Linked DNA regions of Solanum lycopersicum. The protein of the gene in region 2 binds, or shares a complex with, the protein of the main gene of each other region. Links are inferred from orthologs where the notes say so. Each region holds a gene or a part of one and is shown on either strand. Other genes may lie near its edges.

Evidence for each region.
Region 1: FIE (region 2) and VIN3 share a complex: the UniProt entries of both Arabidopsis thaliana proteins name them as parts of the plant homeodomain / polycomb repressive complex. The link is inferred for Solanum lycopersicum from reciprocal best matches to the Arabidopsis thaliana genes FIE and VEL1.
Region 3: FIE (region 2) and VIN3-like protein 1 share a complex: the UniProt entries of both Arabidopsis thaliana proteins name them as parts of the plant homeodomain / polycomb repressive complex. The link is inferred for Solanum lycopersicum from reciprocal best matches to the Arabidopsis thaliana genes FIE and VRN5.

Annotation. Positions count from the first base shown.
Region 1 is NC_090806.1:12,265,595-12,269,890, reverse strand, and holds the start of VIN3 (vernalization insensitive 3), read right to left. Parts: upstream 2,863-4,296; 5' UTR 2,629-2,862; coding exon 2,607-2,628; intron 1-2,606. UniProt on the Arabidopsis thaliana protein: Maybe involved in both the vernalization and photoperiod pathways by regulating gene expression. Binds preferentially to dimethylated histone H3 'Lys-9' (H3K9me2).
Region 2 is NC_090806.1:68,819,816-68,822,839, forward strand, and holds the end of FIE (fertilization-independent endosperm protein), read right to left. Parts: intron 2,534-3,024; coding exon 2,454-2,533; intron 2,354-2,453; coding exon 2,282-2,353; intron 1,948-2,281; coding exon 1,888-1,947; intron 1,803-1,887; coding exon 1,706-1,802; intron 1,360-1,705; coding exon 1,296-1,359; intron 1,210-1,295; coding exon 1,150-1,209; intron 1,066-1,149; coding exon 999-1,065; 3' UTR 579-998; downstream 1-578. Other genes in the region: uncharacterized protein, read left to right, coding at 1-114. UniProt on the Arabidopsis thaliana protein: Polycomb group (PcG) protein. PcG proteins act by forming multiprotein complexes, which are required to maintain the transcriptionally repressive state of homeotic genes throughout development.
Region 3 is NC_090804.1:22,642,043-22,646,386, reverse strand, and holds the start of VIN3-like protein 1, read right to left. Parts: upstream 2,822-4,344; 5' UTR 2,541-2,821; intron 1,080-2,540; 5' UTR 1,028-1,079; intron 811-1,027; exon of another isoform or gene 744-810; intron 1-743. UniProt on the Arabidopsis thaliana protein: Involved in both the vernalization and photoperiod pathways by regulating expression of the related floral repressors FLOWERING LOCUS C (FLC) and FLOWERING LOCUS M (FLM).

The DNA.
Region 1 (4,296 bases), about 57 Mb from region 2:
AACACAACTGATAAATATATAGCACTAACCAGATGTGGGGCATAATATAAGTATGACTACTGCTTAACATTAACCCGAAGTTCCAAATTATTTGGTATTACCTATATGAGTCATTTGCTTCTACCGTATTCTGCTCATAACAAAATTTCATTTGATAAGTTGAAGGACATTCGTTCCAAATCCTAAGCCAAGCCCTCATTGACTTCAAAATATCATACATATTTAGAAACAATGTCCCTCCATGTGATTTAAGTGTAGTCCGTGCTCGTTTAACACCTTCAATTATCATAATGTTGCTTCTATAGACTTGGTGCATTTGGCGGTCTAAGTAGGGTGATCAAACTATGTCAGGCACCCTCCTATATATCCACTACATATTATATTTGTTTTATGACAAGGAAACCTTCAGCCACTACCCGTCGCATGTACACATGCTAAACCCTACTCATGTGCAATAACTCACAAATCACACATGAGAGGTCTACCGCACTAGGCAAGCCCCGTGTGACGAGCCTGATCCAAAATACCAATCCCCTGCTATCGCTAGCAAGGGGTTTCAAACTTGAGACCTCCATTATGGAAGTGCTAAGCCAAACCATTTGAGCCACCCTGAAGGATATCCCTTATGAGTGATATGTGCACTTTGTGATATTCTAAAAAAATGGGATGAGTTCATTAGGAGTTCTCAGTAAACATGATCAAACCATCTAAGAACAACATCCTAATCCTATGCGTGTTCTACTTTCAACCTTTTGTTACATGTGATCATTTCTGATGACTGAACATCCATCATATATTTACATTTTTACGGTGCTCCTTTTTGAGGATGTGGTAGGGCCTTAAAATTCCTACATTGAGTCTTATATAACACCTTGTCTCACAATTGTCTATCAAACTTGTCTTTCACTTTGTTAGACATCTTCCATTCAAATCGCACCTTCATACCATTCCTCCGTATCAAGCATCATGTTTGTAGTTTGATTCTTTTTATCAAGAGAACAATTTACATCATGTTTTAGTTTTGATATGTAACACCACTGGTTCATGGCATTCTCCTGATGACCAAACTTATATATCTAAGATGTCTGCATCTTAAATGTCACAATCTGACCTAATCTCATCTCAACATCATTGTTCTTATAGTACTATACTTACATAGTGCATATATTTTACCCTACTTCTACTTGACTGAGGACTCTCCCCTTTTGAGCAAGTATCCATAATTCCAACTTTTTACTAGCTCACTAGGTTATATTAATAGTAATTATTATTCTTATAATTATAATAATTGGCTCAACATTATCAGCAAATACATGAACATAGAACATCATCTTGTATAAAAAATGGTTAGTGCATCTATAATTATAAGTTAAACTATAAGTTCAAACCATATCTCTAGTGTAAAAAAATAAATAAAAGTTTGGATAAGTTGTTGTTATTCTCAAGAAGTCTCTTATACATGCATTTTTTTCAACTTCAGCCAAGGGTTAAGCAGAAACAACCTCTCCACCTCGCTAAGGTAGAGGTAAGGTCTGTATGCATCCCACCTTCCCAACTTCCACCTCCCCTAGACCTTACCTTTGGGAACATTGGGTATGTGTTATTGTTGTAAGTTGGTGCAAAATCCGGTTACACAATTCCTCCATATCTACTCTCATTGTTTTAATACTTGTCAAATATCCATTGATTATATATCTTCCCCATTTATACATTTCATGTCAAATCATTATTTCATAAGCATTCTCTAAAAGACTCTAATGGCCTTCTAATAATATGTTTCTCTACACCGATGACAATCTGCTGGAGATTGTTCCTCTCCCTATAAATTTTCGACAGTCTTCTCACAGATATATCCTCTTCCCACAAAAACTGAAAAACAAAATCCTTTTTTCCACACGGGTAACTGCCTAAGAGGAAGGAAAAGAATCAGAAAGATCATTTGTAAAAGCATAGAAAAAAAAACAGAAAAGGTAAATTCTTTAGCTATTTCTAGTTTGACTTCACCTAATAGTAGCACTCAATTTCCATGATTAATTCCAAACAGATCTTATAATATGATTGTGTCATCATAGGGTAGTAATAACCTCCATAATTCAACTGTCCTTATAGGTAATCCTCCTTTTCTAAATTGTAAAATGTGAAGGATCACAACACAGTAGGCAAAGAAAAAATGGCATCATTGTCATCCTCCAAATATAATAATAACTAATACATACCCCAGAAGAGTAGGTAACTAAAGTAGGTAACCAACCACCAATCCTAACACCCATTTCAGTAAACCAAAAAAAAAATCACAATGTGAAAAAGAATAAAAAACTATATTTTTTGTACGTATAAAACAGTAACTAAATTTCATTTCATACTATATAATATGCAAAGAGATAATAAAAATCAATTACATAAAAAAGAAAAAAAAAGAGATGGGATCAACACCATTTCGTTATCAATAACACATTAACAGGATGAAAAATAAACAGATCAGAAAATTTAACAAGTTACTTCCTCTATCCCAATTAATTTCTCCGATCAATTATTGAAACTTGATTTGACTTTATCTGACAAAAACCAAATAACACTCATGAAATTGTATGATTCACCATTGTTACCTTCAAAGGAAGAAAAATCCATGGATGCAGTTCCAAAACAAACCAATTTTGCAGCTGAAACAGCAGAGATGTGATAATTTAGAGCAAATATTGAAGAGAAAAAGGTATTGGTGATCGATCAGTTTGATGGAGAGAGAATGAAATAGCAGAAAAAGGAGAAGGAGATTAAAATTGGGGTGAAAATGGAGGAATCCATGGGGTCTTCAACGTGGGCTTTTCGGTACCCGAAGCAGTAGTGATAGAGAGAGAGGTAGTGGGGTCATCTAGTGGTTGGTTACAACTTACAAGAGCTGCAGATTTGTAGGACAAAAAATAAATATTATATTTATCGTAAAAACAACAACAACAACAATAATAATAATAATAATAATAATAATAATAATAATAATATGGGCTATTGATTACGATACGTAAGCCACTAACTATAGGACAAATATTATTTTTTTAAAAAAAAAAGATGCTCCATGAATATAAAGATAGAATGTTAGATGATATAAAGTAGCACATGTTGTAAATAATATTTTTTTGTAGTTATGGGCGATCATTATTCATATCTTCATTAATCCTTTCTTTTTATGAGATTAGTAATAATATTCATATCTTTGTTAATTATTCATAATTAACCTCCGTTAAAAGTTTAATTAAGTTATGATATAGTTGTTTGAAAAATATTTATTTGTGTTATTATTTTTTAATTTCGATTATCTCAACAAAATTCCAAATAATTTTTTAATTGGGGTTCTAGATCAAATGTTCTTTTTATAATTTTATTTTCACCAAGAACATAAGAAGAATACCACGAACTCCTAAATTTTAACTTCATCAATTCTTAAGGAAATCGGCTCAAAATTTAAGAGTAGCTTCCCTCCGAGCTAGATACCAAAATTCAATATTTTTTTAATCTCGAATTTAACTTAACAGAACAAGACTCACTTGAAATTTCTTCAAAATTATAAAGCTACACCATTCTTTAATGGTAAAATTTTCTCCGCAACTTAAAATCACTTGTAAATTTGATTATGGACTAAACAAACACAATGTAGCAAAGATCTAGTATCAAAAATAGCAACAGAACAAGAACCAAAGCAGGATTTTGAAATTTTAGAACTAGTGTTTTTTTTAATATCTTTCTAACAAGGGCGGATTTTTTAACTCCACAAATGATTTTTGAATTTTGACATTTAAAAAAATAAAATTAATGACATGACTGAGTTAAAACTGGTCATGTGTAAAAAATAATTTTTCAAAATTGAAGTTAAAAAATAATTGCATAAATGAGTCTGTTCTCAAATGATAAAAATTTAATAAATGACATAAATAAGTCTTTTTTCCAAAGTTCAATGACACGTTTAAACATTTTTCCTTTATAATTACATATTTTTTCACCTTTTGAAACATTAATGTTATACTTATAAATTATAATCCTCTTTTTGTTATAGAAATGACTCATATATGTCCTTTTACTTAATAGATTAATTTTTGTTGATTAAAAGTTCATGTTTTTGGCTTAAATTTAAGAAAATGTCATGTGACTTTTAAAATATCTCACCTTCCACCATATCCACCCGACCGAATTGGACACAATAAAAACCCACCCGCTCAAATCATGTTCACCCATTTCAAATCATCGTTTCTACCTCAACGAGAAACAAAATTAAATTTTATGAAATTGCGTTTGGTATATTTTTCC
Region 2 (3,024 bases):
TCTTTAAGTGTTGAACTAGCTAATTCAACATCTTCTCTCGATGACGTTAAAGAGCTGAGTCAGAAACTGGAGAACATGCAGAAATTATTGATGCAATTGCGAACTCAAGTTTAATTTGTTTGTCCTCCCCTGTAAGTCATTTTTGGTAGTATGTTATGTTACTATAGTTAAAGAATCATACAGGCTTTCCATTCTTTTTGTACATATGTACTATCCAAAATATGTTGAGCATGTAGCACAGCGAGAAAATGTAGTAGAAGAAAGAAACCTCAGTTGCATAGTAAATTTTGTATTGATGTATGATCGGGCAAAACCAAAAAAAGAATTTCATCACCCACTTATGTTAGGGTTTCTTGATATTGAATTGTATTTTGCCATCATTATGGAAGATCATTATGTTTGGCCAAATTAAGCACATCGTTGATTTTTGTCATTTAAGGGTTTCTTGATTCTTACACATTTTGCTATTTTGCTTTCAGTGATATGGAAAATCATTTTGTTGGACAAATTTGAGCATCATTTTTGGCATTACCACTGCCTTTCTTTCTGAGATAAAATTAGGTACGCTATGAATATAAATTGGTCAAATTGGTTTGTATACACTTATGTACATATTTTGGTAAACATCAAAGTATTAATAAGTTAATCAAGTACAAACCAAAATAACTTATGCAAAAGAAAACTCCCAAATACAGAGTGATTGTTTTTCCTTCTTTCTTTTACAAAGGTATTTTTGTCAATCGAAATAATACGAAGAACAAGATAAAAGGGGAGTCATAGTAATAATGCTAAAAACGATAACTAGACAAGTTTGACGTCCTATCAACCTTCCCAGATCATCGACCTCCATATGTCCAGCACTAATAGTACAAGTTCGATTCACTGGCACATCGAGATAGTCTCACAAGAAAGAGGTCAGAGATAAAGTTAAGCAGAATTTACAGGTGTGTTTGCATGTTTAGATATACTTTCGATCCTTCATAATAGTACATTCAAACTCAAAAAGTTGTTGCTACCACATCCCAGCGCCATATAGTCCCATCTTCACAACAGCTAAGTATGGTGCTGAAGAAAAAAGACAATCGGTTAGTGAAAGATATATCAAAAACATACACCAGAAGCAGTTAAAAAGTGATTTTGGATCTTAACCTTCCATCAAAAGACATGGCAGTCTGTCTAATTGGTTGTTTAGATTGAACATGAGACAGCCTGCAAAAGTTAAGCACAAACACTTTAAATCCAAAACATCAACGAGAAGGATCAGAAACTAGGGAGGGGGATGGATAGACATTAACTTTGCAATCAAAGTTGGCGGGCTTGTTTGTACTTCCCAGACAAAGATCTTGCCTTCTCTATTTCCTGTTAGACATAAGGTCAACGGGTGAATTCCAGAACAAGCTTGGGTCAAAACATACTATGAGTAATCTAGCATGCATGCAACAAATGGACCTAAAAACTTTTCGTTTATATTTTACTTGGGATAATATTAGATAATCTTGACAGCCTCTGGGTTACAAATGACTTCATGCCACACTCAGCAACCCCAGATTTTTTTTTTTTTTTTGGGGTGGGGGTGGGGGGTTACACAAGCAGTAACATTTGATTCCAAATTTGAGCATTATCCAGTGAACAGTACACTAACAGAAAAACTGTTGAGAAAACTCAGTAAGCACATTCAAGATTTTGATTTAACACTTAGAATTACCTATAGCTGCTGTTTTGTAGTGATAATCAAATGAAAGCTTAATAAACCATATATCACACTCCGGCACAGGATACTTTTGGAGGACGTCACTGGTGCCCTAAATGTAGAGCAATATACATTAGGAAATTTTCCAATTTTAGAAAATAATTATTAAAAAAATGGTTCAAACATGACCAACTAACCTCTCCAGCAGATTGTTCTTTCATCTTTGGTTCCCATAATAGAATTTCATTGTCAACACTCTTGAGTATTTCCAACAAAATTTAAGGATCAGTACAAGTAAAATATGAGAAGACCATGTAAAAGACGAGAAGATATCCTCAATCCATTAACAAGTAATTTTCAACTTGAGGTTGACAGCTCATGGTTAAGAAAGAAAGCTATTCTTTGCTTTTCCAGAGGTTCCCAGATTTGCTCTGATTTCCCCTCGACGAAATCAGAAGAGTAAATATCTCCCGGTAAGAAAGATAAAGCCAACCAATAATTCATACAATAGAACAGTTCTTTTCTAATAAGCTCATATAGAAGAACGGTAAAAAAAAAGAATTCAGGTAGAAAGCAGGTCAATATATTCACCTTGGACAAGATAAAATCACCAAGCCATCTGTTACAGTCAACGTAGTTGTTATGGACAGAAGCTATTAACAACTGAAAGGACAAAAAGAAGGTTACAGCAAGAAAAAATCCTCCAACCAAACTTTCAGAAGAAAGAAGGCAGGGAAGGAGAGAATTAACAAGAGTTACTCACTGGAAACTGTACATATTTTGTGGGAAACTTGGAAGGAAGATCCGTCCAAGTAAACGATTTCTCCACATATGTCCAGAATTCTGTAGCACAAGTAGTTCATCAGAAAAGAAATATCAGCTCATATTGATGTTACTTCTTTATATATACTGGTAACATTACTCAAATTGATGTTACTTCATTTTATTTTTTTTCAAACTTGTGTAACAACAGAGCACCAATGGAGCAGATGACTACTTAATCTGACTCATAGCCAACGCTACATCGTTTCCAGGGACAACAGTAAGGTAATTGCTGATAGGTGTGACTATAACTAGGGAAGTAAAGTAGTGTAGATAAAAAGCATTGTGAACACCAGAATACATAAATTCTAGGATAACTGCATGCTGCCTAATATTCCTTCCAGGTAATTGGTACATTGATAACTGCGGTTGGATCTTTGAAAACGTTGGCATCATTTTTATACTTGTAACCAAAGACAAAGATATCCTTGTAGAAATATGTGCTAATAAATTAATGTATTCCACAATGAAGATTGTGTGCAAGTCATTATTTCAACACGTCCAGGTAGTCG
Region 3 (4,344 bases), on a different chromosome or scaffold from region 2:
CTTATGGTTTTTTTATGAAGTACATTTCATAGATGATATCATCAATATGCATAAATCACTTTTTGGGCTTTTCTTGTTCCCTAGTTCTGGTCTAATCTCTTTTATATTAAGCAGACTTTTCTTTGTTAACTCTTTTTGTATTTCTGCATATTCTTCATGCCATCTACAAAATGTACTTCATAAAAAAATAATAACATAAGTAGGAAAGTTAGTCTCAATTAACTATACTTATCTTTGTATGCTCTAATAAATCCCTTAATTTATTGAGCATCATTTCTTAATTTTATGCACCATGGTTCACTTTTTTTAAGGAGGGTAACCTCAAATATTATAGAAAACAACTACTATAACATACATGGATTTTACGAGCTTCATCCTCAATTTAGTCTTATAGAGATTTTTTTTTTTTACAAAAGTAACAAGTTTGTATATAATCATCCGCATTAAGGCTGGGATCCCAAAAATTTAGATCACAAAGCTACATACAACTAAGTAGGCTCAACAACCCAAAAAAAGAAACCTATCTCTAGGTCCTATATCATCTTACAAGGATTCTAAGATGTCTACAATTGCTACAGGATCATCTATATATTCCGAACTACACCAATACCAAAAATTTTAAACATATTGAAACCATAAGACTAAAACATTCACGTTGAAACCTATAAAGCTAACCACCATGAAATGTGTGAAAAAAAAAAGAAATCAGAATAGGAAGTTAAATTGGATGTAGGCCAGAAGACCTAGTTTCCCATCTTCCCATGGCTAAGATTGCGAGCCTAGGGCCAAGAAATGGTATATATACATATCCTGAAACAAAAAAAAGGGAACCAAGAATTGAAGAGTAAATACAAGAATCATTATGACTATTCTTTTATACTCAAAATACCATGGAGGTCTGGAAAGGATTTAAACAAGGAATCTACAGATACCAAAACAAAAATACAACTTTATCCTAATGCAGTTTCTCATGCTTAGGTGGTAGGTAGATAACTCCCAGGACATGAGATTAAGTGGACATTCTCACCTTTATAAATCCATCAATGATAGCCAAATAAGGATGTGGCAGCAACCCCTCCCTGTGACAATAAGATGTTAAGTTTCATAAGTGATACATCTCTGCAGTTTAGGTCTCTAAAATGAGAGACAAACATTTTCCTAAAATATTGATTACCCTTGTATCCAGCATCTTAGGAACAGGCAATTCAAATTCCACACTAAAAAATTTTAGAGAACATTTAAGTTACCAAAATTTCAACAGAAAGTCAGAAACACAAACACACGTGAAACTACATAGTCATTTACACACAACCACACCAAACACAAAACCTTACTCCCTCCATTTTTGCATTACTTTTCTTTTAAGTATCCTACTTAGTTTGTTTAAAAAAGAATGACACATCTCTATGTTAGTGAGCTTTTAATTTCAATATTCCTACTTCAACCTTAATGACACTCCCTTATGGAAATGACATGATATACTTATGATCACAAGATTCAGAGGATATTTTTAAAATGTTATATGCATCCTAGTTTAAAACCACAAAATTGACAAATTACATCATTAAACTCCGTGTCTACTCCTAGTCAAACTAAGACACAAACTAAAACAGAGGAAAGATTAGATCACATTAAAAAGAATTGTAAGATTCTCATAAATATGATAAAATATGATCTTGTAAATATAGTATAGCTTGATTTACTCCTGTAATTATGTATTTTGATTCTCTTTCCTTTCTTAGAGTATGTATACTTACCTATTTAAACCCCAATGTCCCAAACCACAAAGATTTCCCATGCTACCCTTTTGGATTCAAGATTGGTCCACCCTACCTATTTGTTACTCCACACTCTTCAAACTTTTGCATCTGTTACTTGATCCTTTATTATCTTTTAGAAAGCACAGTAGAAAAATCATCCTTTCAAAACCTCCCTTAATCACCATCCTTTTGTGAAGTTCTTTACCTCTCACATCTAATGATATTATTCTGGTCATGGTAAAACTAACTGCACTTTCTCTTACCTAACTAACTTTGCTCCCGCCTACCTCTTTTGTTAATAAAAAAGAAGAAATAAAAAAACTTAAGCTATTCTAACCCCCCAAAGAGACCTTTCTCTCAATAACAACAAAAATGTCTGAGACTTCTATAAATCAGCACATGCATCAGTGTTGAAACTAGAATCTGCAACACTAAAATGGTGCTAATGCTAAAATCAGCTATCCCAACAAGAAATACTAAAATCATTCACAGACGCAATGAGCATTTGGAAATTACTAGTGTCCTAGTTCTTCACATTGCCCATATTCAGCAAGGAAACAAACCAGAGATAACCAGCAACCAACTCGTAACAGTCAAAACACCTCATCACGAACAATACCCAAAATATATATACTACCCAGCAAAGAGAAACAAAATTTCACAAAAACAATCAACAATCACAAACTTGAGTAACAGATCTGGAACCAAACACATTCAGCAAACAACCAATAAGAAAACAAATATATTTAACAAAAACATGAGAAACTCTGAAGAAAGTACCTGATGTGATTAATAAAAAAAAAAGGAGAGAAAAATTTAGGGTTATCGAAGGAGAAAGAGAGAGAGGGGTTTGTTTGGAGAGTAATGAAAAATTCTCTCTCTGTGTTAAAGAAAAGTTGGGACCTGTTAATGTTAGTTGGTGTTATACCAAATTTCTGCACGCCAATTAGAGATGATCCTCACGCGTAATTTAGGAGCGTGACCTGCTCTATTTGCCTGTTTTACAATTTGCTCGTCTCTCTCACGCTTTTTATTCTACTCTCAAGATAAGGTTCTATCATATTTTCTGTTGGAGGTATTCACTTTAACTTTTATCACCTCCACATGCATGTGCTTTTCATACCTAAATAAATATAATATTCATTTCCAAATTTTACATTTATACTACTATATTAATTGGAAAGGATTTAATTGTACCCTTCTACTTGCTTTGTTTTTCTTCATATTAACAATACTTTTCTTGTATTATGTAATAATATATATATGTGTTTATTTTCAATCAAATATTATGTATTACTTGTTATGAATAAGATCTAATATAGTTACATTTTGAATTGCTAGTTCAATTCGGCATCAGATTTGAATTTGGGTTTGATTTTAGTTTTAAAAAATGATCTATTGAAAGATCACTTTTGAGTAAAAGTTTTGCCCCTATATCCTTTCTTACATGCGAGACACATTTTTTTGCATCGGCGATATCGCTAGAAGATATGTATCTCTTCAACACATTAGTTTGTATCGTATTGTTGTATAATTATACATCAATGTTTCACCGATCCAACGCTGGTTGAAAAGAAACATCTCATTGTTGTCCTGGTTTGAAATGGTGCTTGAAGGGTGATATACAATTTTACGTCAATGGTCGCCGATGCAGCACCGATACGAATTGGTATTGCATTTTTTGAACCATTGAATTTTTCTTGAAGCAGTTTTTGATAGCTATAAATATTTAATATTTACTTAGATATTAACATACTAACTAATACACATCAAGTACTAAATTTTTGAAGTTATAACTTTTTTTTTTGCAAAAAATCAAGTGTCATTTACTGTGAGTTCAAGATTCAACAAATTTTAAGGTGCCACTATTTGGCTGAAGTGAATCATTGAATATTTTACAAACAATAAAGTGTGTCGATTTTTGGTTCATAAGTTCGAACATTCAAATATTCATGGTAAACGGTAATTGAATCAGATAATGTTGAGTTCATTGGTAGAATTAGACTTAAGTTGTTTATAAAGGGTTTTAACGACCTCAAGAAGAATCAAAGGTGACTGGACTTAATAAATAGATTTCAAGACATAGTAAACATCAAAGAACATTACTTTCTTTGCATATGATTTGGTAACATTTCTTCTTGAATATGAGGCTCAAACATTCAAAGAAGTTTTTTCTTTGTAGACTCATTCTTTTGGTAATGGGTTGTCTATAATGAGATTTATTTAATCTTGAGCAATACATAGGAGTTGGTTGATCTTCTTCCGGGAAACAAACTTTTTGGTTCAAAATGGATCTTCAATAAAAAAATGAAAGCTTATGGAACTATTGAAAACTAATATACAAGACTTGTCGTCAAGGGTTTTAGACAAAAAAAGCCTTGATTATTTTGACACATACTCGCTAGTAACTAGAATTACATTCATTTTGATGCTACTTGCATTAGTTGCGGTATATGATCTTGAAATCCATCAAATGAATGTGAAAGCAATTTTTTAAATGGAGAGTTGGACGAAGAAATTTACATGAAGCAACCTAAGGAGTTTTGTGGTTCCTTAAGTCACTTTATGGACTAAAACAAACACC